Linked DNA regions of Sus scrofa. The protein of the gene in region 3 interacts with the protein of the main gene of each other region in a pairwise test. Links are inferred from orthologs where the notes say so. Each region holds a gene or a part of one and is shown on either strand. Other genes may lie near its edges.

Region 1 (5,219 bases), on a different chromosome or scaffold from region 3:
CGAGCTGGTGAAGAGCTGGCTGACTGCGTTCAGGCCAAAGGACCCAACCTCCGTGGGCATCAGCTTTGTGGCTGGCGGCATCTCAGGGACGGTGAGTTGCCCAAGCTGGGAGGGAGGCCAGCAGAGTTGTCCTTGTGGGGCAAAGGGCGGAGGGCGGAGGGCGGAGGGCGGGCCCTGGGGTGTGGAGAGGCTGGCAGAGGTTCGGGGAAGAGTCCTCACCCGCCTGGCAAGGTGGCCACACGCGCCCCTCCCCTGGCGAAGCTCTGGCTGAGGCTGGCGGCCCCCGTCTGTCCAGATACCAGGGGTGGGGGTCCTGGGAATAGAGACGAGCCCCCACCCCACTCCCACCCCCAGGTGGCGGCCATCCTGACTCTACCCTTCGACGTGGTGAAGACTCAACGCCAGGTCGCGCTTGGAGCGGTGGAGGCTGTGAGAGGTGCGGGGCCCTGGCGGGTGTGGGGCAGGGCAGCCGGGCAGCAGGGTCTTACTGGACTGAGCCTTGGTTTGCAGTGACGCCCCCGCGCGCCATCTCCACCTGGCTGCTGCTGCAGAGGATCCGGGCCGAGTCGGGCACCAGGGGGCTCTTTGCAGGTGGGTGTCTCTGAGTGTGTGTGTGTGTGTGTGTGTCTGTCTGTCTGTCTGTGTCCAGGCCCTGGTGGATCTGGGGCCCCCGGGACCTGACCTCTGACCCCGGCCGCTCCCTCCCGCCACAGGCTTCCTCCCGAGGATCGTCAAGGCCGCCCCCTCCTGCGCCATCATGATCAGCACGTATGAGTTCGGCAAAAGCTTCTTCCAGAGGCTCAACCGGGAACAGCCTCTGGGCCCTTGAAAGGAGTGAGGGGACAGGGACCCCATCTCTTCCACGGGTGGGGTGAGGCAGGAGGAGACTGAGCCAAGTGCCTTTTCCTCAGCACTGAGGGGAGGGGCCCCGTTTCTCTTTCCTCTCCGCTCTGAGCCCCAGGCCCCCCACCCCAGACCTCTTCCTGCTGCTCCCCATTCCCCAGCCCCGTGAATCATCTCTCCCCCCCACGTTCAAGACCAAATCTGCTAACTACCCGCACCCCCCATTCCCTGGTGTGTCTGCTGTAGCCGGGCCTGCCCCTGAAAGCCTGCGGGCCTGGCGTGGTCTGCACCCGCCTCTGTTAATTCCTTGAGTCTAAAGATGATAAACTTCTTTCCAGTGCCTGTGACTCTGGGAATGGGGGGTCTGCGGTGGGTGGCCCGGTGGGTGAGGAAGCAGGGCACGGTGAAGGCAGTGTGTACAGAAGAGTCCCAGAAGGGACCGTGATGTCGGCTTTGGCTCTCCGGGTCTTGCCCACGTAGAGGACCCCACACACAACTTGGAGCCGGGTCAGGGTAAGGACCCAGGGTTGAAGGGCTGGTGAGACTTGCCCCAAGGGCACAAACTTTCAGTGACCACCCAGGAGGGAGGGTGGCTTCACAGCCAGGCTTCGGCCTAGTGGAAGGAGCTGGACCTGTAGGCCAGAGCTGACTTGCTCAGGAAGGTGGCAAGGAAACGGGGCCCTGCCTTCGCCATCCTGCCCCCTGGGACGCCCCGCGTCTTCTCTGCCTGGGATGAATGAGTTACTAATTGGATCAGGGCGCAGGGGCCCTTACACGTTCCGGTCCCACGCTGGGCTGACCTGATACTTAGGAAAGCTGCCCACTCCCTGAAATCCTCCTACCACGGGGCACACACGGACTCTGGTCCAGCACGGCCTTGGCCCCGGTGCCAGCCCCTCCACGTTCTGGGCCCTGTCCCAGCCCCCCACAGACAAGGCTGCCCTCAGTCCTCTGGTTTTTATTTGCCTGATGGCCTCAGAGGCTCTCCCCTCCTCCACCTCCTTGGAGACCAAGGACGGAGTGGCTCCACGGTGTACACAGGAACAGACGGGAGAGGCATGAGAGGTGGGGGTGCTGAGGCTGGGCCACCAGCTCCTAAGGAGGGTGGGGAGATGAGCAGAGGAGAGTCCAGTAGGGAGCGAGTCAGGCGTCAAGGTCGGCGGAAGAATAAGCTCCCCGCAGCCTTGGCGCCCCAGCCTCTGGGGCCCAGCCGGCCTCCCTTGGCAGCTCCTGCCTCCTCGGGCAAGAAGTTAAACTGGGCTAGAAGCAAAGGGTGTCTTTCCCCAGACGCTCCTGGAGGGTGGCCTGGATTGGGGGACTGAGGACAGGTGGCAGGCGTCTGTGCCCCTGGCAGGTGCGGCTGGCACCCCCCGGGGGCAACTCCTCAGCTGGGGCTCAGTGCCGGGCTGCCCTCAGGACTGTCGCTCACCAGGCACTCGTTGGATTTGAAGCTCGCCAGCGACTTGCAGCTGGGGATGGAGGCCAGGGAGCCGCAGAGGCCCAGCATGGAGGGCGTGGGGTCCTTCCCTGGGGAGAGAGGGGGGGTGAGGCCGGGCCAACCGGTCTGCGTGTGTGTGAGTTGGGGCGTGCGCAGGTGCAGGCAGTGAAGGGACAGCCCTCAGGTCACCCACCAGGCGGCCTTCCTCATTTCTGGAGCGTTTGCCTTCTGCAACGCACCCTTGCTCAGCACCTGCCCGCGCCATGCACAGAGCTGGGGACACTGTATTGTAATCGTCAGTTGATGTCTCTGTCTCCCCCCTGAGGTTCACCCTCTCTCTTTGTCCATTTATTAAACACACGGTGAGCACTTGTTCCGTTCCAAGCACGGGGGATACAGAGAACGGACGAGACACGGTCCCTGCCCTCACGGAGCTCACAGTCTGGTGGGGAGACAGACACACGGACAATCACAAACACAGTGTGGCGGGCTTCCACATCCATGGCCTGCCTCGTCTCAAAGAGGATCTAGGGTCATCCAGTGCAGTGTAGGTTTTAGAAAGAAAAGACAAGGAGTCCAGGCACCAGGAAAACTAGGGTGGGAAACCAAGGAGAAGCCAGGGGGAGGGCAACACAAAAATGCATGCGTTGAAGTCCTGGACATTCGCTTGAAGGGAGCCACTAATTTGGCTCTGAGCTTCCTGGCAGCCAAAGAAAAGGGGGAAACAACGGTCAGGTGACTGGTTCACAGAGGGCATGAGATAAGAGCAAATTAGGCAAAGAACTCCCCGAGGGTCTGTGAGGAGCCCCTTCACGATGGCTCCATACCAAAAAGCCATCGAGCCCTCACCATGTGCCAACACTGGGGATTATTCTAAGCGGCATCCCCATCTTACGGACGAGAAGGGCTCAGCAAGGTGAAGTCACTGACCAAGCTCACACAACCAGAGGGGGCACAGCCGCCATCGGCACCCGGGTCTACATGACACCCCAAACCAAGCTCCCAATTGCTGTGCTAAGCTCTCGGGAAGGGCCGAGCCAATGAGGGAAGTGGCCAGAGCCTGACTACAGGCCCCGAGGCCTGGCCTCAGCCCTTCCCCGGCGGGTGCTGGGTGCTGGCTCACCGATGGGGCCCCAAGGCTCCTCGTCCCGCTTGCCCTCTCCCAGACGCTGGGAGTCTGAGCTCAGACTGGCTTCTGCTGACAGCGGCTCCGTGCTCATGAAACTGTGTCTGCGGCAAAGCAGAGAGCTAGTATACAGGCAGCGGCCCTCGGACCCGGCGCCCTCTTCCCTGGGAGGGACAGCACTCAGGCCCAGGCTGAGCGTGGCTGGGGCTTACCTCCGGTAGAGCTTGGGGTTGTTAGTGCCTTCGGCCCCGTTGAGTGTCCCCAGTGATGGCCACTGGTTGACCAGGCGTGCAGTGAGGTCCTTGGAACCCTGGGCCAGGGGAGCGTGGTCACCGGGGATCAGACCTGTCCTGGGATGGGGAGGGGGGGTCAGGCCTGGCCAGGAAGGGGCTCAGCAAGAGGTGGGAGAGGAGTTAGGATTGAAACCTGGGTAGCAGAAACGGGTATGAATGTTCATCAGTGGGGCAGATCCTGGGGGTCAGAAGGATGATGGGAATTAGTGTCCGGGGTTAGGGGAATAGCAGGATGTGGACGGAGTCAGGGGATGGGCCTTGGTGCCGAATAGTGTGGGAATCATGAAGAGTTAGGGGATGTTGGGGGTTATGCTGGGAGGAGCGGTTAAAGGGATGGATAGGGGTGAGGTCAGGGGTCACCATGGCTGATGATGATGGGCCTACACTGCAGGTCAGAGGGGTGTTGAACAGAGGGGAAAGGGCAACCCTGTTGAAGGCTGAGGAACAGAGGTCCTTATGAGCTATGTTGGGGTCCTTGGTAGTGTCAAGAGTCCCAGAAGTAATGGCCATTCTAGCTGGTGGCAGATAATTGAAGGTGAAGTGGGGAAGCTGGTTTTGGGGGGGGGGTCCTCGTGTTGATAACGTTAGGTCGCGCGAGGGTGGGGATCTGTGGATGAAGGTGACAGGCTGTTGGTATCGGGAAAGGTGACGTTAGAGTCAGCGGGGGCGATGGTGGGGTTCCCTGGGGTGATGTGTTGGGGGAGGCGGAGGAACGGGGTCAGGGCGGCGGCGGCGCTCACAGCTGCTCCTGCAGCTCCAGGATCACGCCTTCCAGCTCCCGCTTCTCGCGCTGGTTCTGCGCCGCCGCCTCCTCCAGCTGCAGCTGCAGCCGCCGGTTCTCCGCCTCCAGGTCTTTCAGCTGCGACTCGCGCAGACGCACCAGCTCCTCCAGGTAGCCCTGCGGGGCGCCGGCTCAGCCAGGGTGGCAGGAGGAAAGGGGGGGTCCCCGCGGCCGCCCCAGCCGCCCCGCCCTCCTCAGGGCTCCCCTCCCCTCCCCCACCGCGCACCTTCTGCGCGTAGACAATGCGGAACTTCTGTTCCATCTTATGCCACTTGCTGTACCAGCTGTCCTCGTCGGTGACGAGCGGCAGGTAAGGGTGCTCGGGTGAGTTGTCCTCACTCGTGCTGCTCTCGGCGCTGTGCCGCTCCTCCTCGTCCGTCAGGTAGTCGTAGCTTGGGGAAGGGAGCAGTGGGCACTTGCCGGCCCTGCCCGCTGGCGTGCCCCACGCCAGCCCGCTTGGGCGGGGGCACCAAGATTCTCCCTGCCGCCGGCCTCCCCCCGCCATCCCCGCCCCTTAGGGCGGTCTTCTGACCGCACCCACCAACCACCGGCAACAATCAGGCTGCTCACCTCTGGGTGAACTTCAGGTAGGGCGTGTAGTCGATGACCACGGGGGTCTTCCCGTCCAGCACTTCGCCCTTTAGGCAGAAGCTGGGGGCAGAGGAGCCACAGGATGGCAGGCGGGTATGAGGGGACGGGAGTGTGGACTTTCTCGGAGAAACATCCCCATCGCCATGG
Region 2 (4,117 bases), on a different chromosome or scaffold from region 3:
CCAAGCATCCTATGGGTACAAGGCCCACAGACAGCCCAGGACAACCCACACCCAGCAGCTGGTTTTCCAGGAAGACGGACCCACTGTGGTAACAGAAGTTTCCTCCTGCCTTATCAACTTCTGCTGAGGTCAGTGGTCACAAGAACCCACCAGCCTTTCGGACAAGGGAAGGCAGAGGGTCAAAAAGAAACTGTTTCTCCCCACTAGACTCCTGAGACACCACCGGCTTATAGTTAAGCAGCTCCTCATGGCAGTGACATTTACCACCATCGCCCTCTTGTCTGAATCTGTCCCTGAAATCCTGTTAAAGGCAGGGCCTCTGGCTCCCAGGAAAATGATCTATGCTAGATACTGTCTTGGCTGGCCCTGAGTAATGGCTCAGAGGACAGGAGAGTGACAAATGCAGATCTCTTTACCTTAGAGAGAAGGAAAGGAAGGCGAAATTACGGCTGCTTTCTGCCCGACATCACTGACTCAGAAGGGCAGGCCTGTGAGAACACTTTTCCTCACTTGAGGCAGGGAGGGGGCCCTTGGGAGGCAGAGGCCATGCCTAGTTTCTGAGCTCAGTACACATGGTGAGCACTCCTGACTACATTAACACAGCCAGTTGAGAGAAACTTTCCATTTTAGTGTGGATTGTATTTTATGTTTTATTTTAAGAGGCAATAACTGGGAGCCAAAGGCAGACAGATGGATATAATTCTATACACAAATCATCAAAAAAAAATTTTTTTTCCTATAACACAACTTAATGAAACATTCCAAATGAGATAACTTATTGCAACATTTCAGGCTTTTTGGTGGAAGGGGAATTTTTTTTTTATTTTACCCTGAGTAGAAGATCATTGCTTTTTTTTTGTTTGTTTTTGTTTTTTTTTTTCCTTTTTTTGTTTAGAAATCATATGACTAAGCTGAGCAAGTCACATCCTTCTTTGCACTGTACTAGGCTGTATGCAAAATCCAGAGGGGTCAGGGGTGGAGATGGGAGGGGACAACCAAAAGCCTGGCTGGAACCCCAAACCAGGCCACCCGCCTGCCGAGGGCATGCCGCCTGAACAAAACTCCTGGAAAGCCGCACATTCTCCTGATGAGCAAAATGCAGCTCTTCTGCTCTGAGGAAGAAGATACCATTCAGAAAAGGCAGACCGCCGACCAGCAACTGGCCACAAACTGCCCGTCCACTCCAGGACAAAGCAGGGATGTTCCCCAAGAAAAACTCACTGTGATCTGCAAGCCCTGGCAACCAAGAGAGAGAGAGAAAGAGAGAGAGAGAGAGAGAGAGAGAGAGAGAGAGGGAGAGGGAGAGAGAGAGAGAGAGGAGAGAGAGAGAGAGAGAGAGAGAATATGCCGGGAAGGCAAAGACTGATCAAGTTCCTACAGCCTGCTCTGCACAGGCACCAGTCAGCGACAGGAGCTATCAACGACTTGCCTAGGGCCCTGATGGAAGCAGGCTGTCCCCTAGGCCTCAGGCCAGCCTTTTAGCTGCCTGTTTGTGCCGTAGCTGGCTGCAGGATGACACCTGCCACAGTCGCCCTGAGCTCCACCACACCAAGCACAGACAACAAAACCAGCTCACCCGATCCCTGTCCAGCTCACAGCTGTCTGACCTGGCTTTGCCACTTCCTTCTCTGACGGAGCGAGGGTCTGGCCTTCCAAGCAAGCTTCGGCCTCAGACTCAAAAGACGCATGGGGAGGAGCAACACCCGACACGCCGAACTCTACTGCCCAGACCACAAAGACCCCAGTGCAAGTGATGGGCAGCATCAGATTGATGGAAACCACACCCTTTCATTTAGAATTTTTATGCATACGAGTAACCTTAATTTCCAAGTTCACATGACAATAAGCAAAAGTGACATACAGTGCAGCCAAACAGTTCATTTATAACTTAGCTTTTTTTTTGTTTTGTTTTTTTTGTTTGTTTTTTTGTTTTTTCCAAAGATCAGTTCCTTAAAAATGGATGCTCCTGACATATGAATAAAGAAAACAGGTCTGAAAGGTGAGGATTTCAAACAGTAGATTTCTTCATCCTTCAAACTGCTGACCCCATGAGGACAGGCACCGCACCTCTGCTTCCTGCTTGGCCTCTGTTCCTGGAGGGGAGCACATTCGGGCCTTTCACTTGGAGAAGCTGCTGGTCAGGCCCATCTCCTCCTCTTCCTGCAGTAGTGCTTCAATGGGAATCAGGTTGGATGGGGTGTCCAGGCTCTGGAGAGACAGAAACTCGGACATATCCATGGCACGTAACGTTTCTGTCGGAGGGTCTGAAGGAGTCACTGCTTGTCTGCTTTGCTCACAGGAGGAGGATGCAGCGGAGGATGACGACAGGGGGATCGGGGGTGGGGAAAAAGTCTGTGGTGGTAGCTTCAGGCCTGGCCCATCAGGAGGCTGGGCGCTCAGCTCTGGAGGGGGCGGGGAAGAACAGCCCTTCCGCCTGCTGGCCGCCCGCTCCTTGGCAGAGTCCCGGCACGCACACTGACACTGACAGGCCTCCTCTTGTTTGATGATGATCACAGGAACACTGAGGCCAATCTGCTGTACAGCACTGCCTGTGAGAGAGGCGAGAGAGACTGCTCTTCAAGTAGCCGCAGGGCAAGGGCAAGAGGGACAGGAGGGTGTAAGACTAGGTGAGAGCTGAGCACCATGGAGGCAGGAAGATGGGAAGGGTGGATGTCATGCTCCAGGCTTTGTTCCTCCTCGAGTGAGAAGCCTCTGACACTCCCCATCCCCTCTGAGGCAGAGAAGCCACACACCATCTAGATGCACCCTGTATTTCCAGCTTCATTTCTGGCCACCCTCCATGCCAGCCACGGCGGACACCTCCCTTTTCCCGACACTCTCCGCATAGCTCTTGGCTGAGAGGCTCTTCCTTCTGCCTAAAGTCTTCTGGAGAACTTAGCTCTGAACACCCAGCTCACTCCTCTCCTCTCCTGACACCTCCACCTCCAGGCAGTGTTTCCAGCGGGCTTACACCTGAGGGCCAGCCCGAGGGCAGAGCTCTGCCGCACTGCACCTGACCCTGGCCCCTGCCTGCCCAAGAGGCTCTGACCTCCTTCAGGACACCCTGCTCAGCTGTGCAGCCCGGCTCTCTGATACAAGCCAGCCTTGTATGCACACACATTCCCCCTCTTTTGTGTGTGTGTGCGGTGCACAGGCACACTCTGAATTCGGATAGGCTTTGCATGTCTCAGAAGAGCTCGAGACCAGGGGTAGGAGAACAGAATGGGCATCAGGAGGCCTGAGGCTCTGCCACAGACTCACGTATGACTCTCGGGGAGTCATTTCATCGTTTCGGGGCCTAGTTGCTTTAATCTATAAAAAGCTTGAGAAAAAGGACCTTTTAGCTCTCTAAGATCTCAGACGCTATTTCTTCATTACTGTAATTAGAAAAAGAGTCCAATGAGTTAACAACTGCTCTCTTTGGCATGAACTGTGATTCAAACTTTTTCTGGCTATGTTAAAGGCTGTATCTGAAAGGGAAAGAACCGTTACTAGTTAAAGAAGTTAAAGGTAGTGTTTATGCCGTAAGTGCAGTAGCTTTCAACAGTTGTGAGAATATGAAATACTCTAGTGAAAAAAATACAATGTGATCAATTTAATTTAAAATTTTTTAAAAACTGGGGCAAAGCAATAATTAACTAACTGTGCCTCAAGGGGCCCAGAGAATTGACTTCCTTTTAAAGCTAACACAGAATTACATACCTGTGCTACTGGCTACTGGTACAGCAGTGGTAAAAAACACCTTCTCAACTTTAGATGCTTGCTGCTGGAAAAAAAAAAAAAAAAATCACATTTATGGCCACTCAAATATGGCAGATCTCCAAGGACCTGAAGCCTCCCCAATTGTAATGGTCATCCAAGAGGACAGAAGCCCTCAGTGTTCAGGGATTTTTGCACTGAGTGATGTTTTGTTTGCGCTCGGACATGAGGTCACGGCACTGTTTGACATTCAGTCCTGACAATGTAGCAGGCTTTGTCCCCTACTCCTTGGCTGTCTCCCAGCTGCCTAATCCAGTAGGTTCTGTGCACCCAAAACCTCCTTCAGGATTGCTTTTCTCAAGCAGATGGTCTTCTCAGGGCTAGCTTCCCCCCTAAGCTCTCCACTCCCCACCGTGCC
Region 3 (5,288 bases):
CAGAGAAAGTAGCAGAAATATAGATGGTCAAACAGCTGACTTCTATCGATCCTCTCAAGGCCAGACAATCTCAAGGTTACTTAAACTGTTCTGCAGCATGGAAAATGGAGACAAAAAAATTATGAAATGGGTATAACACTGATACCTGATAGAGACTGTACCAAAAAAAAAAAAATCTCAGTTATGAAATCCAACGTAAAAATCCTGCAAACAATGTTAACCAACAGAATGAATGGGACATTAAAAAGAAAATATAATCAGTGGAACAGGATAGAAAGCCCAGAATTAAAGCCACACACCTACATCCAACTAATCTATGACAAATGAGGCAAGAATATACAATGGAGAAAGGACAGCTTGTTCAATAAGTGGTGCTAGGAAAACTGGACAGCCACATGGAAAAGAATGAGATTTGAACACTCCCTAACACCATACACAAAAACAAACTCAAAATGGATTAAAGACCTAGATATAAGACCAGCACTATAAAACTCTTAGAGGAAAACACAGGCCTAACACTCTCTGACATAAATGACAGCAACATATTCTCAGATCCACCTCTCAGAGTATTAATGACAAAAACAAAAATAAACAAATGGGACCTAATAAAACTTCAAAGTTTCTGCACAACAAAGGAAACCCTAAACAACACAAAAAGACAATCCACAGAATGGGAGAAAATCTTTGCAAGTGAATCAGCTGACAAGGGATTCATCCCCAAAATTTATAAACACCTTCTGCAGCTCCATACCAAAAAAAACAAACAACCCCATCCAAAAATGGGCAGAAGATCTAAACAGACAGTTCTCCAAAGAAGACATACAGATGGCCAAGAAACACATGAAAAGATGTTCAACATCACTCATGATTAGAGAGATACAAATCAAAACCACTCCGAGGTACCACCTTACACCAGCCAGAATGGCCATCATCCAAAAGTCTACAAACAATAAGTCCTGGAGAGGGTGTGGAGAAAAAGGAACACTAGTACACTGTTGGTGGGATTGTAAATTGGTGCAACCACTGTGGAAAGCAGTATGGAGATTCCTCAGAAAACTAAACACAGAACTACCATTTGATCCAGCAATCCCACTCCTGGGCATCTACCCAGAAAAAACCACTACTCGCAAAGACACATGTACTCCAATGTTCATTGCAGCACTATTTACAATAGCCCAAACATGGAAACAACCTAAATGTCCATCGACAGAGGAGTGGATCCAGAAGATGTGGTACATATGCACAATGGAATATTACTCAGCCATTAAAAAGAATGAAATACCAGCTTATTTTGCAACATGGATGGACCTAGAAACTATCATGCTAAGTGAAGTCAGCCATACAATGAGACACCAACATCAAATGCTTTCACTGACATGTGGAATCTGAAAAAAGGACAGATGGAACTTCTTTGCAGAACAGATACTGACTCACAGACATTGAAAAACTTATGGTCTCTGGAGGAGACAGTTTGGGGGGTGGGGGGATGTGCTTGGGCTGTGGGATGGAAATCCTGTGAAATCAGATTGTTATGATCATTATACAACTACAGATGTGCTAAATTCATTTGAGTAATAAAAAAAAAGAAAGAAAATATACCATGAAGCTCGCCAGAATGCATGGATAGTTCAAGATCTATCCCATTAATATATCTGAATGAATAGACAATGAAGAGGCATTTGGCTAAATTCATTGCCCATTTGTGCTACAAACACAGTAAAGTAGGATTGGAGTGAGTTGCAGCATCAATATACTTGGAAGGGAAACCTGGCAGCTCCATTTGAGGCAAAGCCAGGAGGCTGCTCTCTCCACAGCCACTTACAGGTGCTGGAGATGGCAACCCCAGCAGTGAGATGCCAGAAGCCACAAGATGCCCAAGAATAGAAGAGGAAAAGGGGAAACTGCACCTGGCTGTGAACGATATGAAAGAATAATTATGAAAGTTGAAAGAAAAGCTACAGCAAATAAGAAATTTAGTAGGATACCAGGATATAAAATTACCATATGAATGCTGGCAACCTATACTGGAAGATATAATGGAAAAGGAGGCTCCATTTACTAAAACATTGATTTAAAAATCATCTTAATGAGAAATGTGCAAAAGCAGAAGAGATCCTTGGGGTGTCCTGGGGATAAAGAGTGTTTGGTGGCTTTTATCTGGCACCAGATACACAGATGTATTCTCTTGGAGAAAATTCTTGATCACATATCATATGTTACTATTCTGCATGTTACAGTTAAATTAAAGTACCTTTAAAGACACTGAGGGAGTTCCTGCTATGGCACAGCAGATTAAGAACCCAGTGTTGTACCTGCAGTGGCTCAGGTTGCTGGGTTAAGGTTCTAGCATTGCTACAGCTGTGGGGTAGGTCACAGTTGCAGCTTGGATTCAATCTCTGGCCCAAGAACTTCCATATACCGTGGGTGTGGCCATGGGGAGGAAAAAAAAAAAAAGCCATCAGCAAACTGAGGAAAACTATTTCCAAGTCATGTCAAAGAAAAGGTACTAATCTTGCCCATGTATAAAGAGCTTTTGGAAACCAAGAAGAAAACGACCAAACGGGACAAAAAAGTGAGCCAGAGACAGCTACTACAGTTTCCAGAGAAACGCAAACAGCGCTCTGAAACATAAAAATGGTGTTCCAGCATGTTTATCACCGTAACAGTGATGGCCTGGTGTGATGGCCTCACACTTGTCTTCCATTCTCTCCTTCCTGTCTCCCCAGGCACTCTTCCCACAAACCCAGGCTCAAGTGCTCAGATTGAATACAAGCCAATGGGCCATGCCAGCATGTGGAGCTGGCCCAGGCAGGAGGTGCTCTCTGTGTCTGGAGCTGGTGCTGGATTTCCTAAACCATGTGGTCTGGCCCCAGAGCAGTCTGTTCCCCTGGAGGGGAGCTGAGCACTGAACAGCAGTGCCAGAGGGAAAGGAGGAGGGAGGGCTGGGCACTGCCCTGATGCTGAGGATAGGCCGGTTCACAAACAAGAGGAAGGTGGGGTGGCCTGGAGCCAGCGCCACCCCCTGCCTCTGCCTGCTCTCCTTTCAGCACTCCATCCACTCTCCCTCCTGAACCTTCCTAAAGCCCCAGGTGGGGATCCTGCCCTGTGCCGTTAGAGCTGCAAGGCTCCCCAACAGTCAGGTTGCCATGCTGTGCTGGGCACAGGGAGCAGGTGAGTGTGGGTGGAAGGCTGGAGGGGGCGCCCCACTGAGAAAGGTGCTCACCGGGAAGGACTTGATGGACCACACGATCTCACTGTTCTCGGGGACCCACTTGACGCTTCCCACTGTTGTCTTGAACTTGGGTGAGTCGGCATCGTTGGGCACGGGTATGTGGATTTCCACGTTGTTGGCTGTTGACCGTCGCTTGAATTGGCTCTTTGCCTGGAGATGAGGGTGGAGGGTGAAGGTGAGACAGTCCAGCTCCCCCGACTGCCTACTCCCTCGAGGGCCACATGTCCCTTGGCCTGACCTGTGGGATGCCCAACTCTGACACGGAGCTGACCCTCACGCCACCCCTTGAGATCTTCCTTAAGCTCAACTTCAGAAGTTCGGTCTCTGCCTTCCTGTCCCCTTGGCCTTTGGGACTCCTCATCCCTTCCTCTGGCCCAGCCCTGGCCTCCTGGGACAATGTCTGTGTCACCATGGCTTGCCTGGGCTTGATGAGATCACTGAGTGGCAAGATGGCACACCTAGATGCTTGGTCACAGGCCACTGCCATGGTGGCCGCACCTAGGATCTGGGTGGTGTGACCCCTCCCTGCCCCAGACCTGCTCTCTGTGTGAGGTCAGAGAGGGGCAGCACAGATGACAGCCACAGGCCTGACACCTGGGGGCAGGGGTCACAGAGCCCCGGTATGCCCCCAGTCCTGGGTTAGGGCCTGTGCCAAAGGCCAAAGGCCTGTACCAGGAGGGGCCGCCCATACCCCCCTCAACAACCCTGCACTCCCAGCTGATGCTGCATGCAGGACACACACATACCTTGATCATGTATTCAATGCGGCTGTGGGAATGCTTTTCAATCACAGACTCAATCCAGATCAAGGGCTTGACCTGTTGGGGAGAGTGAAGACGGTACTCAGACCTGGTGATTTTACAAAGCCCCGCTTCACAGAGGGGAAACTGAGCCCCAGGGCAAGGGACCACTTGGCCAGGTGTGAGCCTGGGGCACTGCTGCCCGGGGTGCTTGGAGGAATCCAGAGCTGGTGCCAGGATGGGTCAGAGCATAGAGAATAAGGCATCCAGCAGCTGCCAAGCCTTGGTGAAAATGCAGAAAACATCACCAGAGATGTTCTGCTGGGGCTGCCTGGAAACAGAGCAGAGCAAAGGGGCCTGACCCCTCAGAACGTCGGAACCTTGCCTTGTCAATCAGGCTCCTAGGAGTCCAGGCTGCCTGTGGGGAGCTGTGTTCATCCTGGGCATCACCTCGCAGTGAGACTCACCCTGGATGGGGATAGTTCCCACCCAGCCAAGCAGACAGGAGAGGCTGCCCTCAGGGAGGAGCAGGGGTGGAAGCACTCACGTGGGTGTTGAGGCGGTAAGACATGAGCTCGAATTCGCCATCGGGTGGGATGAAGGAGATGGTGCGGTCATTCTCAAAGCGTGAGAGCCGTACGCACTGGTGGAACTTCACATCCTCCAGCTCCACGGACTTGCTTTTGCCGCCTGAAGGGAGGTAGGAGTGAGGGCCTGACAGGCCACTCTCAGCAATGCTCCCACTGCCTGGGGCCCACCCCTGACAGAGCAGAGCTGCCCCTCAAATCAGTGAGAGTATCTTGGGCCCTGAATACCAAGGGGGAACCGGCTTCTGAGACAGCCATCCCTCCATCTCTCCTCATCACATTGGAGGTCCCATTATGTCCCAACAGTGGGATGAGGGCAGGCCCGGTAGGCCTGGCTTACAATGAGTCCCCAGGCAGGGTTGCTGCCTGGAATATGTTTGCTGAATGACAAACAGACACCCCCTGGGGGTAGGTGGTGATGACTCAGGGCTCCCTGAGGGCCCTGGACTGGTCATCTCTTGAGATCTGGGCCCTGTCTTGGTTTCCCAGCCCAGAGAGGCTGTGTAGGTCGGGCCCAGCCTGGGGAGGGGAGCTGCTCTGATAGGTTAACATCTGAGAGGCTCTCACTAGTGCAGCTACAGACTTAACTAAGACAACCTGGGCCACTGCTCTGGCCGCCAGTGGGCCTGTGGTTGGCGAGGAGGCTGGTGGTCCAGTCTGCAAACCAGTGGCTCTGTGTGTGGCTTTCAAAGAGCCCAGAGCCAACGTCAGAGGTGAGAGCAGAAACAG
Region 4 (5,288 bases), on a different chromosome or scaffold from region 3:
AATTATAATTGATGAATAATTATATATTATAGATATTACTAAATACCTTTGTTCAATAGCTGTCAGAACAGTAGATTATAGATGCTAGTCTAAAAATTATTACAAATAATTAACTGTATCATGCTGAGTTAATGTTTAAGGCGTATTCATTTAGAAAAAGTCAGAACATGATGAAAGTAGCCCACCAAACACAAACAGTCAAAAACCCAAGAAACTTGATGCAGTCTGTAAAATATCTATGAAAATGTATATGACTACCACTCAGTACAGTTATTATCTTCTGCTTAACCACTGATGTATCAATGAGTAAATGTTGAAAGTACATAATTTGAGTGTATCTTTATTTCTCCAGAGATAGTATCTGTATTATGGTTATGATATGTGGCATTGTTTTGTTACATTTTTTTTTTTTTAACAAATTTTTTTTTTTTTTTTTTGTTTTGTCTTTATTTGTTTTGTTGCTATTTCTGGCCTCCCTAGATTCCAATAATCAGCTGTACCACCCCACCACCACACGCATCCAGCCGCACCCCCACCCCCACCCCCCCCCCCCCCCCCCCCCACCACCCCACGAAACCTGTACAATTCTGACACAGATTCATACAGATTCCAATACAGTTACGAAGACAAAGAAATCAAGTGAAATACTATAAAATAGAAAATATGATCATGAATTCATTATTTTAAAAATATATATCTTCTAGCTCAGAAATAATCTGAAAAGAATGATGCCTTATAACAATGAGCACCCTAGGTGTCTAAATTTTGTTTTCTAATTTCATTCCCCACTACAAGGTACCAAAGCTTCTTTGAGAAATAACTGATTCCTTTTTTTTTTTTTGGCAGGGGATGTTCAAGGTGAGCCTTGGGCTCTTTTGGAGCCAGAGAACAAGGATACTTTGAAAATTTAACAGAGTTGTGACAAAAGGACACAAGAGCCAGCTTTGAGTGTCCCACTGCACACATGAAAATCTGAGTATCAAAAAGAATAATAATTGTTATGGATCCAAATATGATGAACCAATGAAAATTCATGAGATCACCTGCTATTTTAAAAAAAAAAAAAAAAAGCAGAAAAAACTCATATCATTTGAGACTACTATTTTTTTTTCTTTTTTGGCCACACCTGCAGCATATGGAAGTTCCCAAGCCAGGGATGGAATCTGAGCCATATCTGTCACCTACAACACAGCCGCAGCCTACACCATAGCCACAGCAATGAGGCATCTGAGCAGTGTCTGCAACCTACATCTCACAGCAGTGCCATATCCTTAACCCACTCAGCAAGACCAGGGATTGAATGGCATCCTTATGCCATTAGGTTCGTTACCGTTGAGCCACAACAGGAACTCCCAGAAATGGTGATTTTGACCTAGACATTTAAAACATTTTTAAAGTTTACATTGTTGTTGGCTCATTTTATATCCTGAAAAGACCAGGATATAAAACACATTAGATTTCAAGTCAATTAAAATGGATATTCAAAAGACTATTTCTTACTTTAAGGTTTCAAAAGGAGAATAAAAATCTATTTTTAAAAAATATATGAATTTATGCATTATATGTAAAGTAAAAACATTAAATGGGAACAAAATTTTAATATGGTAGAGTTTTATGAAAAGATTTCCCTCAGTTAATCAGATTATCCTAAAGCTGATAAACGCATGGATTTCCTAAGAAGTAAAATGATGAAAAAATCATATACATACTGTTCGAAAATGGCTACTTAGATGGTCTAGCCGGCTAAATCTTTTCCCACAAGCTTGACAGGGGTAAGGCCTTTCTCCTGTGTGACAACGAAGGTGCCGCTTGAGGTCTGCCTTCCGCTTCACCACATGTGTGCAATACGGGCACTTGAACCTCATCCTGGGCAGGTCATCTGTCAGGAGACAGTTTGATTAAGTCACCAGAAGGTTCATAATCAAAATTCTAATAACTTCAAGAATCCAAAAGGGGCTGGTGAGTCCAATCTCAGAAAGATAAGCGAAAGGAAAAAGGAAGAAATTTTATAAAGACTAGATTGTCAAAGGTGATAATCCTATTACGGAATCATAACCTCAGGAGATATTTACAAAGTCTGGACAGATTTTGTCTTTTTTTTTTTTTTTTTTTGCTTTTTAGGGCTGCACCTGTGGCATATGGAAGTTCCCAGGCTATGGGTCGAATTGGAGCTACAGCCACAGCCACAACCCATAGCAATGTGATATCCGAGCCGCATCTGCAACCTACCTCACAGCTCATGGTAACGCCGGATCCTTAACTCACCAAGCAAGGCCAGGGATGAACCCATGTCCTCGTGGATACTAGGATACTAGCTAGGTTCGTTACTGCTAAGCCACGATGGGAACTCCAAGAGTCCCTAGATGTTAAATGTCAAGAGGTAGTACTGGATTTTAAAGATTCTAAGTACCTTGTTTTATTAATTTACTTATTAAATAATTATTTATTTATGCATTTATCCCCCTGCCTTTACTTTTCATACAGTTGTGCTACTTTTCTTGTAAAATGAAAAAGTTTCTAGGATCTTTAATTTTTTGTTTTAAAACTCATACATATTCAAAATGTTAGTTGTGATTGGAGGCAAATCTCATCAATTTAATAGCTGGTCATTACTGAAGATTTAAATAACCCAGAATTATAACAGTTCAGAGCCCAAGAAAGGATAACATTTTTGCTGCTTTAAAACACAACAGGAGTTCCCGCTGTGGTACAGTGGGTTAAGGATCTGACTGCAGCACCTTGGGTTGCTGCAGTCCTGGGTTCCATCCCCAGCCTGGTGCAGTGGGTTAAGGATCCAGTGCTGCCACAGTTGTGGCTTGGATTCAGTCCCTGGCCCAGGAACTTCCATATGCCAAGAGTGCAGACAATCAAAACAAAACAAAACAAAAATGAAAAATAAAATGCAACAAAGATTTTCCATTTTTGCTCTGTTATTTGTCTTCCTTGGCCCATTATAGAGCTCAGCAGGATTTTCAGTAAGCTCTACAATATGATACAATTTCATGTATTTTCATATTATATCCTACAGGAAGATATGGTTAGTAAAAATCAGTCAGGTTGCCTATTATTTTTAAATATGTTACCTATACAACCAAATTTTTGTCTAAAATTTATATGACGACCAGGGAAATGTAAATATTGATTGGCTTTAATGATATTAAAGATTTGCTAATTTTGTTCAGGTACAATAATAATGGTATTGTAGGGGGTTTGTTTGGTTTGGTTTGGGTGTTTTTTTGCTTTTTTGTTTATTTATTTATTTATTTGTCTTTTTGCTATTTCTAGGGCCGCTCCCGCGGCACATGGAGGTTCCCAGGCAAGGGGTCCAATCAGAGCTATAGCCACCAGCCTACACCAGAGTCACAGCAACGCGGGATCTGAGCTGCATCTGCAACCTATACCACAGCTCATGGCAACACTGGATCCCCAACCCAGTGAGCAAGGCCAGGGATCAAACCTGCAACCTCATGGTTCCACTCATGTTAACCACTGAGCCACTATGGGAACTCCTTTTTTTGCTTTTTTAGAGCTGTACTTGTGGCATCTGGAAGTTCCCAGGCTAGGGGCTGAATCAGAGCTACAGCTGCTGGCCTACACCACAGCCACAGCAACGTGGGATATAAGCCACGTCTGTGACCTACACCACAGCTCACGGCAACAGCATATCCTTAACCCACTGAGCGAGGCCAGGGATGGAACCTGCATCCTCATGGATCCTAGTCAGGTTCGTTAACCAATGATCTGTGAAGGGAACTCCTGCAGGTTCTTTTTTTGTTTTTTTGTTTTTTTGTCTTTTCTAGGGCCACATCCGCGGCATATGGAGGTTCCCAGGCTAGGGGTCAAATCGGAGCTGCAGCCACCGGCCTACACCAGAGCCACAGCAACATCAGATCCAAGCCGAGTCTGCAACCTACACCACAGCTTCATGGCAACGCTGGATCCTTAACTCACTGAGCAACGCCAGGGATCGAACCCACAACCTCATGGTTCCTAGTTGTATTCGTTAACCACTGAGCCATGACGGGAACTCTCTGCAGGTTTTTTTAAAACTACATTTTAGGGACATATTCTGAAATATTTAAGATAAAATATGATGTCTTAGGTTTGCTTAAAAATGGGAGGTGTTGGGGCAGAGGCACAGATTAAATAAGACTGGTCATGAGTAGGACTGGGTAATGGGTACATGGGGGTTAATTATACTATCCTCTCTTAATATATGTTTGGAATTTTTCTAAAATTACAAAATACAAGTAAAGGAGTTCCTGTTGTGGTGCAGCGGGCTAAGGATCCAGCCTTGCTAGAGCTGTGGTGTTAGGCTGCAGCTCAGATTCGATCCCTGGCCCAGGAACTTCCATATGCTGTAGGGGCAGCCAAAAAAAGGAAAAACAACAACAACAACAACAAAACTCCTCCCTACTGAATTCAGAAAAAACAAAAAACAAAAAAAAAACCCACAACTATTTCAAATGAAAATATGTGTCTTAAGGACTGAACCATTTAAGGAAAGAGCTTTAAACACTTAACAGTAATCTAATCACCCGCAGATGTAGGTTTGGAAAATCGTGGGTTTCCACCCTCAGCACGCTATTCTTTTGACCTCCTTAAATTCATCCAATATTACTTTTAATTAAAGAAATTAACTTAACATTTAATGAATAGATTTCATTCATTAAAAAAAGAATCACTTGGTCCAACTGCCCATAACACCTAAAGGTGTTATGTTGAAATAGGATTGATTTACAGAGGAGTCTTGGAACCTGATTGAGGGGATGGAGTCTCTTTGTGGGTACCTGGAAAACTTCTTGATGTGACATCAGCTCCTTGACCGTACTGATAGCCAACAGGAGTAGAGTCCATTTCCACATCCATCTGTGCCTGTTCTTCAGACTGGGAAATGTGGCTGGAAGAATCAGATGTTCGAGCTTCTCGTTTGCTTGACTTATACTGAGTTGTTTCAGAAGGCTGTGACAACCTCAAATGTTTGGACTTTTTCATGGACTCTTTCCTTTGTTCATGCTTGGCCAGAGGCTGCTGAGTATTCCTTTGGGGGGCTGGATGGTAATTATACTTACTCCAAGATTTCCCACTTATTATACCCGTCCCTTGATCGGGGCTCAGGTGAGAGCGTGGAGAACTGCTTTCATCTTGCCAACCACCGCTATAAAAAGAGGAACGTTCTATACCATTAGAACTGGCATCTTTATCGGAGAGGCTGAAATAGCGATCTTTTTCTTTTTCGCTGATGTCGAGCGAAGATTTAATAAAGGTCTTACAAACGCTGATGACAT
Region 5 (5,288 bases), on a different chromosome or scaffold from region 3:
TTGCTGTGGCTCTGGTGTAGGCCGGTGGCTACAGCTCTGATTCGACCCCTAGCCTGGGAACCTCCATATGCCACGGGAGTGGCCCAAAAAAATAGCAAAAAGACAAAAAAAAAAAAAAAACTTTTACACTGAAGATTCCTTTTTCTCCCTGAACTGGAATTGCATGGAGTAAGTTAGAACCCATTCTTACCTCACTCCACTCCACATTCACAGCCCCACAGAAAATTTTAAATGTTTCCAAAGGGTACATGAGATCTGCTCATCTGGATGCCCAAAACTTAGGAAGTGAAGCCCAAATATTTTCCATCTTCTCATTTGTTCTCAGAAAATTTCAGACATTTGCTCAAAATAACAGTGAATCAAAATCAATGGCAAAAACACAACTTAGTAGCAGCTAAATTTTCTAAAAATAGATATTACTGCCTTATAAAATTGTTTCTTTACAGACTTTTTTTTTTTTTTGTCTTTTTAGGGCCACATCCACAGCACACGGAAGTTCCCAGGCCAGGGGTCAAATTGGAACTGTAGCTACTGGCCTAAACCACAGCCACTGCAATGCCAGACTCGAGCAGTGTCTGCAACCTATACCACAGCTCATGGCAATGCCAGATTCTTAACCCACTGAGTGAGGCCAGGGATCAACCAGAGTCCTCATGATACTAGTCTGATACTAGTCGGGTTTGTTATCGCTAAGCCACAAGGGGAACTCCTCTTTATGTAATTCTAAAAAGGTGACACAGCGCTGCTTGAGGGAAAAAGATAGGGTTGAATCTTCTAATACTGGTGGTAATTACACCCTGTTAAAAGTCACGGTTTATGCGCATACACACCGGTATTGCCTCTGTGCCTAGCAAGTAGCTATAGGATTTCTAATGGTAGGTAGTACCACAGCAACTTTAAAAAACTATAGCTTGCTTCATCCTTTGACCTAGACACCAAATTTGAAAGATAATAAATAGAAGCCAAGGCTACCCAAAGAGTAAGATGAACCATCTGAGCAGGTTATTTTGCAAGTGAAACCCAAGGCCTACATCATGGCAAATTCCAATTCTCTAATTCAAAAAGTTCAACAGTGAAATATTCCCAGGCTACCCACTGAATAGCTCAATGTTATTCACCTCCAAGAGAAGTATGCATTAGGAAAAAGGGGAGAGACAGGGACTCAATTCCTCCATCTTCTCAGTAATGATACTTAATGACCAATCACTCAATTCAAATGATCTTCAGTTACTAGCAGAGCCAACGTACCACTTTGAGACTTGCTCCATTCACTATACAGCCAAATTCTAAATGTCAATAGGAGAAATAAAAAGGTCCCAAACATTAAGGATTAGGTTCTGACTGCCAAACATTCACAAAATAATCAGGTTGGCTATAAAAAATTGTCCTAGGAGTTCCCACTGTGGCTCAGTGGTAATGAATCCAACAAGTATCCATGAAGCTGCATGTTCAATCCCTGGCCCCCACTCATTGGGTTAAGGATCTGGCATTGTGTGGTGTAGGTTGCAGACACAGCTCAGATCTCGCATTGCTGTAGCTGCAGTGTAGGCTGTCAGCTACAGCTCCGATTTGACCCCTAGCCTGGGAACTTCCATATACCCTGGACGTGGCCCCCACCAAAAAAAAAAAAAAAAAAAAAAAAAAAAAAAAAAAAAAAAGAGAATTGTCCTAGTACTCTGTAGAAGAATGGACTACAATAATTAAGCAATAAAGATAACTTTTATTCAGTTGTATTCCCACACCACCAGAAAAGACCACAAATATCCATCTGAAGAAATCTTTTTAAAAACTGATATAAACTTAAGGTAAAACTTCTTTAAGACAGTAATGAAAGAAATTTGTTTCTGAACAAATAGAGAAGTAAGTATGATACAAAGATTTGCTATAAGACCCTTATATTTTAGGAGTTCCCGCTGTGGCACACAGGACCGGCAGTGTCCTGGGATGCAGCTTCAATCTCTGGCTCCGCACAGTGGGTTAACAATCTGCTGTTGCCACAGCTGCAGCATAGGATCAGATCTGATCCCTGGCCGGGAACTCGATATGCTGCAGGACTGCCAAAAAAGAAAAAAGAAAAAAAAAAAGACCCTTCACCCCAGTGTTCATAGTAGCACTACTTATCACCAAGACAGGGAAATAACCGAAATGGCCATTAAAGATGAGTGGTTTAAGATGTGATGTGAAAACACACACACACAGGAATAGTACTCAGTCAAAAAAAGAAATGAAATATTGCCATTTGCTGCAGCATGGATGGACCTGGAGAATATCATATTAAGTGAAAAAAAAGACAAATATACCACTTACATGTGGAATCTGAAAAATAATACAAATGATCCTATATATAAAACAGAAGCAGACTCAGACATAAAAAACAAACCCAGGGTTACTAAAGGGGGAGGGGGAGAGGGATAAATTAGAGAAGTATGGGATTGATAGATAGAAACTACTATACATAAAACAGATAAGCAGGATGGATTTACTGCATAATACAGAAAACAGTATTCAATATTTTGTAAATATCTATAATGGAAAATAATCTGAAAAAATATATACTTATAAAACAATTACTTTCCTGTAAACTAACAATATTGTAAACAACTATACTTCAATTAAAAAAAAAAAACAAAACCTATATTTTCATGCTTGGATTTCCGCTCAGAAACATGTAGGGTGTTAGACTGTGGGACACACATAAGTCATGCTTCACAGGGCTAGCCTATGACAAGACGTACTTTAAACATTCTTTTTTTTTTTTTTTAATTTTTTTCCATTTTTGGCCATACCCACAGTATATGGAAGTTCCCAGGCCAGGGATCGAATCCAAGCTGCATTTGAGGCTTACGCCACTGCTGCAACAATGCCAGATCCTTAATCTGCCGCAGCAGACCAGGGACTGGACCAGCAACCACTGTGCCACAGCAAGCCAGATCATTAAACCACTGTGCCACAGCAGGAATTCCTAAACATCCTTTTCAATGATGGACATTTTATTTTATTCTTTCATTTATTTATTTGGTTGTATTCACAGCTTTTGGAAGTTCCGAGGCCAAGGATCCTACCCAAGCCACGGCAGTAACAATGCTGCATCCTTAACTGATAGGCCCACCAGAGAACTCCTAAACATATTTTTCAAAGGGACCCATTCTGGACTTCTCTGGTAGCCTGGTGGGTTAAAAATCTGGCATCGTCACCAGGAACTTCCACACGCCTTGGCCAAAAAAACCCCAACAAACAACGCCCGCACCCCCGCCCCCCCCACACACACAAATAAAGGGACTCATTTTAAATACCACTCTCTTATAAAAGCAGAAACTATTACCATTGGATTTGAATCTGCTATGAGGTCCCGCAGAGAATCCAGAAATCCCTGATCTTCAACCATCTGGGCATTGATGTCATGGAGTTTTGCCACACAGACTGCTGCTGTCTTCCGAACATAGGGATCTTCATCCTTTAAGCACTTGCGGAGGGGTTCACAGAGATATTCCGTAATCTTGTCCACCCGGATACACCCCATGGTTCTGACTGCCAAGGCCCGAATCAGAGGATTGGGATCTTCACAGTCCTAAAAAAACAATCACTGACAACTATAGGTGTACAGGGTGACTAAAAATAAACAGTCAGATGTACGTAAGCCACAACAGAATATTCATTTAATGTAGGTTTCCAGTTACATTCCACATCAGAACTCACATCTCTTAGACCATTCCCTTCCAAGGTACAGTCTTAGTTGCCTACCTAAGAGTTTAGGTTAGGAATTCATTTAACTTTTATATACACAATGAAGAAGTGTCCTGTAGGTTTCATTTCAGAGCTGAGCAGAAAGCTTAGCTGATGCTACCACCCCCAGAGCCATTAGTGGACCTGTCCTATAAATAGAAAAGGTCTTAGGGCTTGTATTCTGGTACAGGAAAAAATTAGAAACTGGAAAGATGTGTCCCACTCAACAAATACCAAGTAGGGAGAAAGAGGACTGGTTACCTGGGGCCTACAGCCACGAAAGCAAAAGAGATATAGAAGGTGATTTGGGTTCCTTGAGTGAAGCAGAAGAGAGGGCCCTCTGAGACCCTGATTACATACATTCTCCTCTCCTAGCATCTGTGTCAAATATGAATAGAATACTTATCATGAAGGAACAACCCTTAAACTGTCCTACATTAAGAAATTTCTTTAAACATTATAAACCTGTGAACATGCTAACTTCCAAAAAATGGACACCAAATTCTTTCTGGTACTATCATCCACCTGTGCATCACCAGAAAGAAATGTTAGGTTGGTTCTGCTTTTTAAGGAGGAAAGCATGCTGTTTATTTTTCAAAACAGTTTAGTACAAGCTCATTTTAGAAATGATGTCTGATTTTTGCTTTTAATGCAAACTGAATTCCAAACAGAGGAAAAAAACAATAAATAAAAAAACTAAAAACTGGAGTTTCCACTGTGGTATAGTCAGTTAAGAACCTGACTGCAGCGGCTTGAGTCACTGCAGAGGAGCAGTTTGATCCCTGACCTGGCGCAGTAGGTTAAAGGATCTGGTGTCGCAAGCTATGCCACAGCTGTGGCTTGGATTCAATCCCTGGGCTGGGAATTTCCATGTACTGCGGATGTGGCCAAAAAAAAAAAAAAAAAAAAACTAATACGAACAACCTCATTATTATGTTTATCAAATCTAATGATAGGACAAATTTGACTCTTGATATCTAATAATACTAAGAAATTTACTTTCTTCTTCTTCTTTTTTGGCCACACAACAGCAGCAACAAAACCCACTGCAGTGAAAATGCCGTATCTTTAACCCTGCTATGTTGCAAAAGAATTCCAAGGAATTTCTTACTGGTCAGGTTTTAAAGATGTGACAATGGTACTATAGTTACATATGTTTGGGATTTACTGTAAAAGTAACCAGTAGGAAAGGAGGGGAGTCAGGGAAGCATGTATGGAGAGTATAAGTTAAATAAGGCTGGTCACAGGCAGGTGACTATTGAAACTACAAGACTGATACTTAGCAATTTATTATTCTATTCCCTCTACCTGAAGATGCTTGAAAATTTCCATAATGACAAAAAAGTTCATCAACTGTTCTAAGACCTACTGAATAAAACAAAATTAAATAGCAGTTCCTGCAGTTTCCATTTCTTCTGACCCATAAGCATAGTTCTACTGAGATAAAATAGGTAAAGCCCCAAGATACTGATACTACAAAGACATGCTCAACCTTTGTTAGCCTTGGAAGGCAAAGCAGTGAGGTTTCACCTGGTTTTCTTCTCCCATCTGGCAAAAATGCACCG
Region 6 (5,288 bases), on a different chromosome or scaffold from region 3:
AGGAGACAATGCATGTGCAGTATTGAGTACAGAGCCTGGCACTCAGTAAATACTGGATAAATGTTACCTCCCTCCCTTCTCCAGCTACAAGCGAATCCAAGAGGGCAGGATATCATGTTGGTTAGGACCCAGGGTCAGGGGAGACCTAGCTGGGTGTCCTATGTAATTTCCTTTACCTCCGTAAGCCAGAGTTTCCTTACCTCTAAGATGCGGACAATGATGGGGCTACCCTCACAGAGTTGCTTTAAAGGTTATCTAATGCACAGGAAGCACCCAGTGACAATTCAAGGGATGGTGGCCTGAGGCTGTCCACCTCCTTACTCAGCCCGAGGTGACCAAGGTCTCTGGCTTCTGTTCTGTGCCCACAGTGAGCGACGGCCTGAAGCACCACCACTGTCAGCCTGGCTCTGTGTCTGAGGATGGTCTGTGGGGCAAGGCCCTGGAAAGAGGCCCACCAGAGGCCTGGAGCCCAGCTCATGGCTGCAGCCCCTTAGGGCCAAGCCCGGCGGGGCTGTAAACAAGGGGCAGCCTCTCACCTCTGGGCCTCTCGGTCATCCTTGGGAGTGTAGTTGGCCAGGCAGTCCAGAATGAAGATCTGGCCCCACTCAGTGCACTCATTCAGGGCTGTCAGCAGCTTGTTAATGGACTGCGGGTTCAGGTCAAGCAGGTTGCTGCTGGGGTGAGACTCAGCAATCTCGGAGAGGGCCGCCACTGCATTTGCTACCACCTGGTTGAGAGGGTGGAGGGGTTAGAGGCTGGGGTGCGGTCTGCAGGCCAGGGCAGTAGTGGGGCTAATGATGTGGACCAGACAGAGCTCAAATATCCTGGAAGACCCTATAGGCAGGGTCTGGATCTCCGAGACTCACTTCAAGCTCATGCTACGATTGATTCCTCTGTAAGCTGAAACTAAAAGTGCACCTGCCATTAAAGAAAAACACAAGATAAGAAAGCTCTAGTCCCAAACCTGGCCAGAGAAAGCACTCCTGCTACCTAACAGCAGTACCAGTCTACCAGCTCCAACAGCTCTCTGTAGGGGTTGACACCTGTGCTTCTCAGAGCTAGAAGGTTCCTGCAGAGCCACTCAAGGCTGCTAGGAACAGATCTGGGCTGGAGCACAGAAGGGTTGCCTTGTGAAGCTCTGGGTGTGCAACCCATTTCCACCAGAGCAGCTGGTTTTACATGTGTACTGTGTGGTGTTCAACCTTCCTTGAACCAAGCAGAGCTCCAGTGGCCATCTCTGTACTGGCCACTTGGCTCCTGTGTGTGACTGGTTTTAGTGTTACACAGAATGGGACAGCTGGGCCAGGCAGGTTGTACATTGCCTTTTTTTTAATCTTTTTATAGCTGCACCTGCAGCATATGAAAGTTCCCAGGCTAAGGGTCGAATCAGAGCTGTATCTGGGGCCTATGCCACAGCAACTTCGGATCTGAGACCCATCTGTGACCTATGCTGTAGCTCATGGCAATGCCAGGTCCTTAAGCCACTGAATGAGGCCAGGATCAAACCCATATCCTCATGGATACTAATCAGATTAGTTTCCTCTACTCCACAAAGGGAACTCCACATTTCATTTTATTTAAAAAAATTTTTTAATCTTTTTGTCTTTTTAGGGCCACAGCCGCTGCATATGGAGGTTCCCAGGCTAGGGGTCGAATCAAAGCTGTAGCTGCTGGCATACGCCACAACCATAGAAACGCCAGATCCAAGCTGAGTCTGCGACCAATACCACAGCTCACAGAAATGCTAGATCCTTAACCCACCGAGTGAGGTCAGGGATCGAACCCGCATCCTCATGGATCCTGGTCGGCTTTGTTAACCACTAAGGCACTGACGGGAACTCCCACATTTCATTTTAAATATGGCCCTACTGAATTGCCCACCAAACCGAGGAGACCAGGTCCCCTCCCAACGCATCCTGGTGCCTTTTCTCCGGTTACACTACTTCAAGGGTAACCATCTCTAACTCTGCAAAGAGTGGGGAAAGGGAGAAGCACCTCCCATTCACAGCTCATTGATGGTCTTGGTGAGAGGACGGTGATAACAACAGTGACTAGGAGTTTCCGTCATGGCTCAGGGAACCATGTGGTTGTGGTTAATGAATCTGACTAGGAACCATGAGGGTGTGGATTTGATCCCTGGCCTCACTCAGTGGGTTAAGGATCCAGCATTGCAGTGAGCTGTGGTGTACGTTGCAGACGTGGCTCGGATCCTGCGTTGCTGTGGCTCTGGCGTGGGCCAGCGGCTACAGTTCCGATTAGACCCTAGCCTGGGAAACTATATGCCACGGGAGTGGCCCAAGAAATGACAAAAAGACCAAAAAAACAAACAAACAAAACAAAACAAAACAAACCCCAAAAAAACCAACAACAGTGACTAGAAGGGGAAGGAGGGCACTAGTCGTAGATGCATATCCACTGTGTGCCAGGCTATGCTAGGCACGATACCTTCATAGATAAAGCCTCATACACTCCTGGTAACCATGCAGAAATAGATTCATCTTACTGATGAAGAAAAGAGGGCTCTGGAAGGTTAGGCAGCTTGCTCAAGGTCGCAAAGCTTGTTAGAGAGAGCCGTGCAGACAAGAGCATCTAGGTCTAGCTCACTCCAAAGATGGTGCCCAAACCACTGCAGGCAGGAGAACAGCTGGCCCACCCCGCAGGGCTCTTTCCAGGAACTGAAGCTGCCTGGTGGAGGGTCAAGCCAAGGCCTTCCAAGGAACCCTGGAGGAGGTAGAGGTGACACTGTGGGTGGCAGTGACTTACCATGGGGTTAGAATCAGAGATGAGGTCTTTAAGAGTGTCTAGGAAGCCCTGGTCCTCTACCAGCTGGGCGTTGATGTCGTGAAGCTTGGCCACGCACACAGCTGCTGTCTTACGCACATAGGGGTCCTCATCCTTTAGGCACTTCCGGAGTGGCTCACACAGATACTCTGTGATCTTGTCGACACGGATGCACCCCATGGTCCGCACAGCCAGAGCCCGGATCAGAGGGTTGGGGTCCTCACAGTCCTAAGGGGAATCAGCCATTGGCCGAGGTGAGCAACATCATACAGCTACCATGGGATCTCCCACCAATTGTGGCCAACAACATCAAAAGCAAGGGCCATATATGGGCATCTAACACCTGCCAGATGCTAGGCTTTGCACTATCCTCCTTGATCCTCATAGCAGACACAGAATACAGTTCCTATTTTACAGGTGAGGGAGCTGAGGCTCTCAGCAAGGTCGGGAGCTCACCCAGTCACACAGCAGAGCCATGACCCATCCTGCATCTAATATTTCAATTAGGCCCTAGGACTCACCTATCTGGGCATCAATGGGAATTAGGGAGCTAAGGTTATAAAGTGCAGAGCTGACACTGCAAGTCCCTGCTTCTCCCCAATCTGGAGGACAGAAAATGCAGAAAGGAGCAAAGTCTAGAAGGGGAGCACAGCTCTCAGATGCGTGCTGCATCCTGTGCTGGCAAATGACGCAGGGCAGTGGCTCACCCCAGGGAACAGGGGGAACAACAGGCCTGGGGTGACCTCACATGGAGTGAAGTAGCAGGGTCTGTGGCATCTGCTATTCTGAAGAGAGCTGGGGCCCTCTGCTGGAGGAAGAGTCCCCAGGATGGGAGCCAGAGGGCCCAGGCCCAGAGCCATAGTGCCCCACCCTAAGAGACCGGGGGGAGCAGTAAGCAGCTACACCCCTCCTCCCACAAGCTCCTGCTCACCTTCACAAAGGTGTTGACGGCCATAATGGCCATGTCTGGCTGACTCTTGGCATAGTTCATCAAGTACAGGTACACTAGCTTCTTCAGCTCCAGGTTGTCCGTCTGCATACAGTTCACCACATCGGGGAAGAGGGCACTGGAAGGTCAAAGCGGTGTCAGTGCAAGGAAGGCCAAAGAAGAGAAAAGAAGATTTTTCAGGCAGTTAATGGAGGGTGCGGAGGGGGGTGAGTGGGAAGGAGGGAAGGAAAAGATAACAGGTCTTCCTAGTAAAAGGCAGGGCAACAGCTTTTACCATGAATATCTACTGGTAGAAAATGAATTCCAAAGGGTGATTTTTTTCCCCCTTTTTTGGCTGCACCAGTTTTCCAGCAGACACCCGATCCCTTTGCTGATCTGTCCTCAGCAGGCTTCTCTGTAGAGCTGCTTCTCCTGTGGTGCTGTCAGGAGGTCCCTTGCTGAGTGTGGCAATGGGATTGGGCACTACAAGTATGAGCAGAGGGATCCTGCTGAGGGACCCAGATGGGGAGCTGCTCCAGGCCAGTGTCCAGGCCTACAAGGCATGGAGCTTGGCACCACAAGGACACCAAGGACAGGGAAGGAAGAAAGCACCCAGGTCTGGATTTCAGATGGGTTGAGCGTGAGTAATGGTTCTGCCATTAACCAAGTGACCATTTGGACAGTCACTGTTTCTGGCTTCTTTGGCCAAAGATCATCCTTACCTACAGTATGGAAATTGTATGGAACTTCCAGGAAAATATATCTAAAAGTGTTCTGCTGACTCTCAAACACTATGTGTTGAGCTGCTGTAAAATCTAGCCCTTGTCCTTGAGGACTTGACAATGTGGTGGGCAGGGAGGCTCAAGCGCACATAAGAAGAGGGCACTCTAGAATTAGGGCCAAGCAATAGGAACACAGCAAATGCTATGTGTTCAGGGCAGTGGGCCAGAGTGATGAAGGAGACAGCTGGGTAAACGCAAAAGGGGAAGGGACGTTCCAGGCTGGGGAGATGCATGAGTAAAGGAGGGGCTGTCATTCTGTATGCGATCTGCTGTGGTAACAGATGCAAACCAGAGGCTGCAAACTGACGACAAATTCAACAAGAAACCTGCAGGTGTGTCTTACTTGCACAGGGTTTGTTTGTTCGGTATCGTGTGACAATCTAAAACAGAGATTTTTAAAATGAAAAATCAAGTTCCCTTTGTGGCTCAGTGGGTTAAGAACCCGACTAGTATCTATGAGGATTCAGGTTCAATCCCTGGCCTCGCTCAGTGGGTTAAGGATCCAGCACTGCCGCAAGCTATAGCATAGGTTACAACTGCGGCTTGGATCTGGCATTGCTGTGGCTGTGGTATAGACCTCAGCTGCAGGTCTGATTCTACCCCTTGCCCGGGAACTTCCATATGCCGTGGGTGCGGCCCTAAAAAGACAACAAAAAACAAAAGAAAGCAAAGAAAAATCCAGGAATTCCCCACTCTTTCTAAAAACCAAAAGACTGGCCCCACTGGGGTCATTTCCACAGCGGGCAGCACCCTCTAGAGTTTGATAGGGTTCACACCACATGCACTGCATTGTCTGG

What was found.
Region 1: the proteins of AP1M1 (region 3) and RUNDC3A interact in binary tests that used the Homo sapiens proteins (3 or more experiments, as listed by UniProt). The two-hybrid records come from large-scale screens. The link is inferred for Sus scrofa from reciprocal best matches to the Homo sapiens genes AP1M1 and RUNDC3A.
Region 2: the proteins of AP1M1 (region 3) and MTF1 interact in binary tests that used the Homo sapiens proteins (3 or more experiments, as listed by UniProt). The two-hybrid records come from large-scale screens. The link is inferred for Sus scrofa from reciprocal best matches to the Homo sapiens genes AP1M1 and MTF1.
Region 4: the proteins of AP1M1 (region 3) and ZBTB8A interact in binary tests that used the Homo sapiens proteins (3 or more experiments, as listed by UniProt). The two-hybrid records come from large-scale screens. The link is inferred for Sus scrofa from reciprocal best matches to the Homo sapiens genes AP1M1 and ZBTB8A.
Region 5: the proteins of AP1M1 (region 3) and AP2B1 interact in binary tests that used the Homo sapiens proteins (3 or more experiments, as listed by UniProt). The link is inferred for Sus scrofa from reciprocal best matches to the Homo sapiens genes AP1M1 and AP2B1.
Region 6: the proteins of AP1M1 (region 3) and AP1B1 interact in a two-hybrid assay, tested with the Homo sapiens proteins (2 studies listed by BioGRID, with this or other methods). The link is inferred for Sus scrofa from reciprocal best matches to the Homo sapiens genes AP1M1 and AP1B1.

Annotation. Positions count from the first base shown.
Region 1 is NC_010454.4:18,918,579-18,923,797, forward strand, and holds the end of RUNDC3A (RUN domain-containing protein 3A), read right to left. Parts: intron 5,133-5,219; coding exon 5,052-5,132; intron 4,874-5,051; coding exon 4,708-4,873; intron 4,599-4,707; coding exon 4,441-4,598; intron 3,758-4,440; coding exon 3,620-3,757; intron 3,512-3,619; coding exon 3,405-3,511; intron 2,982-3,404; coding exon of another isoform or gene 2,962-2,981; exon of another isoform or gene 2,371-2,961; coding exon 2,228-2,370; 3' UTR 1,787-2,227; downstream 1-1,786. Other genes in the region: SLC25A39 (solute carrier family 25 member 39), read left to right, coding at 1-91, 355-436, 511-591, 714-829. UniProt on the Homo sapiens protein: May act as an effector of RAP2A in neuronal cells.
Region 2 is NC_010448.4:93,838,311-93,842,427, forward strand, and holds the end of MTF1 (metal regulatory transcription factor 1), read right to left. Parts: intron 3,767-4,117; coding exon 3,703-3,766; intron 2,550-3,702; coding exon 2,119-2,549; 3' UTR 1,787-2,118; downstream 1-1,786. UniProt on the Homo sapiens protein: Zinc-dependent transcriptional regulator of cellular adaption to conditions of exposure to heavy metals. Binds to metal responsive elements (MRE) in promoters and activates the transcription of metallothionein genes like metallothionein-2/MT2A.
Region 3 is NC_010444.4:61,361,107-61,366,394, forward strand, and holds part of AP1M1 (AP-1 complex subunit mu-1), read right to left. Parts: intron 4,663-5,288; coding exon 4,520-4,662; intron 4,051-4,519; coding exon 3,979-4,050; intron 3,383-3,978; coding exon 3,224-3,382; intron 1-3,223. UniProt on the Homo sapiens protein: Subunit of clathrin-associated adaptor protein complex 1 that plays a role in protein sorting in the trans-Golgi network (TGN) and endosomes.
Region 4 is NC_010448.4:88,952,744-88,958,031, reverse strand, and holds part of ZBTB8A (zinc finger and BTB domain-containing protein 8A), read right to left. Parts: coding exon 4,791-5,288; intron 1,880-4,790; coding exon 1,710-1,879; intron 1-1,709. UniProt on the Homo sapiens protein: May be involved in transcriptional regulation.
Region 5 is NC_010454.4:39,901,593-39,906,880, forward strand, and holds part of AP2B1 (AP-2 complex subunit beta), read right to left. Parts: intron 3,569-5,288; coding exon 3,323-3,568; intron 1-3,322. UniProt on the Homo sapiens protein: Component of the adaptor protein complex 2 (AP-2). Adaptor protein complexes function in protein transport via transport vesicles in different membrane traffic pathways.
Region 6 is NC_010456.5:46,491,376-46,496,663, forward strand, and holds part of AP1B1 (AP-1 complex subunit beta-1), read right to left. Parts: intron 3,849-5,288; coding exon 3,713-3,848; intron 3,010-3,712; coding exon 2,764-3,009; intron 728-2,763; coding exon 537-727; intron 1-536. UniProt on the Homo sapiens protein: Subunit of clathrin-associated adaptor protein complex 1 that plays a role in protein sorting in the late-Golgi/trans-Golgi network (TGN) and/or endosomes.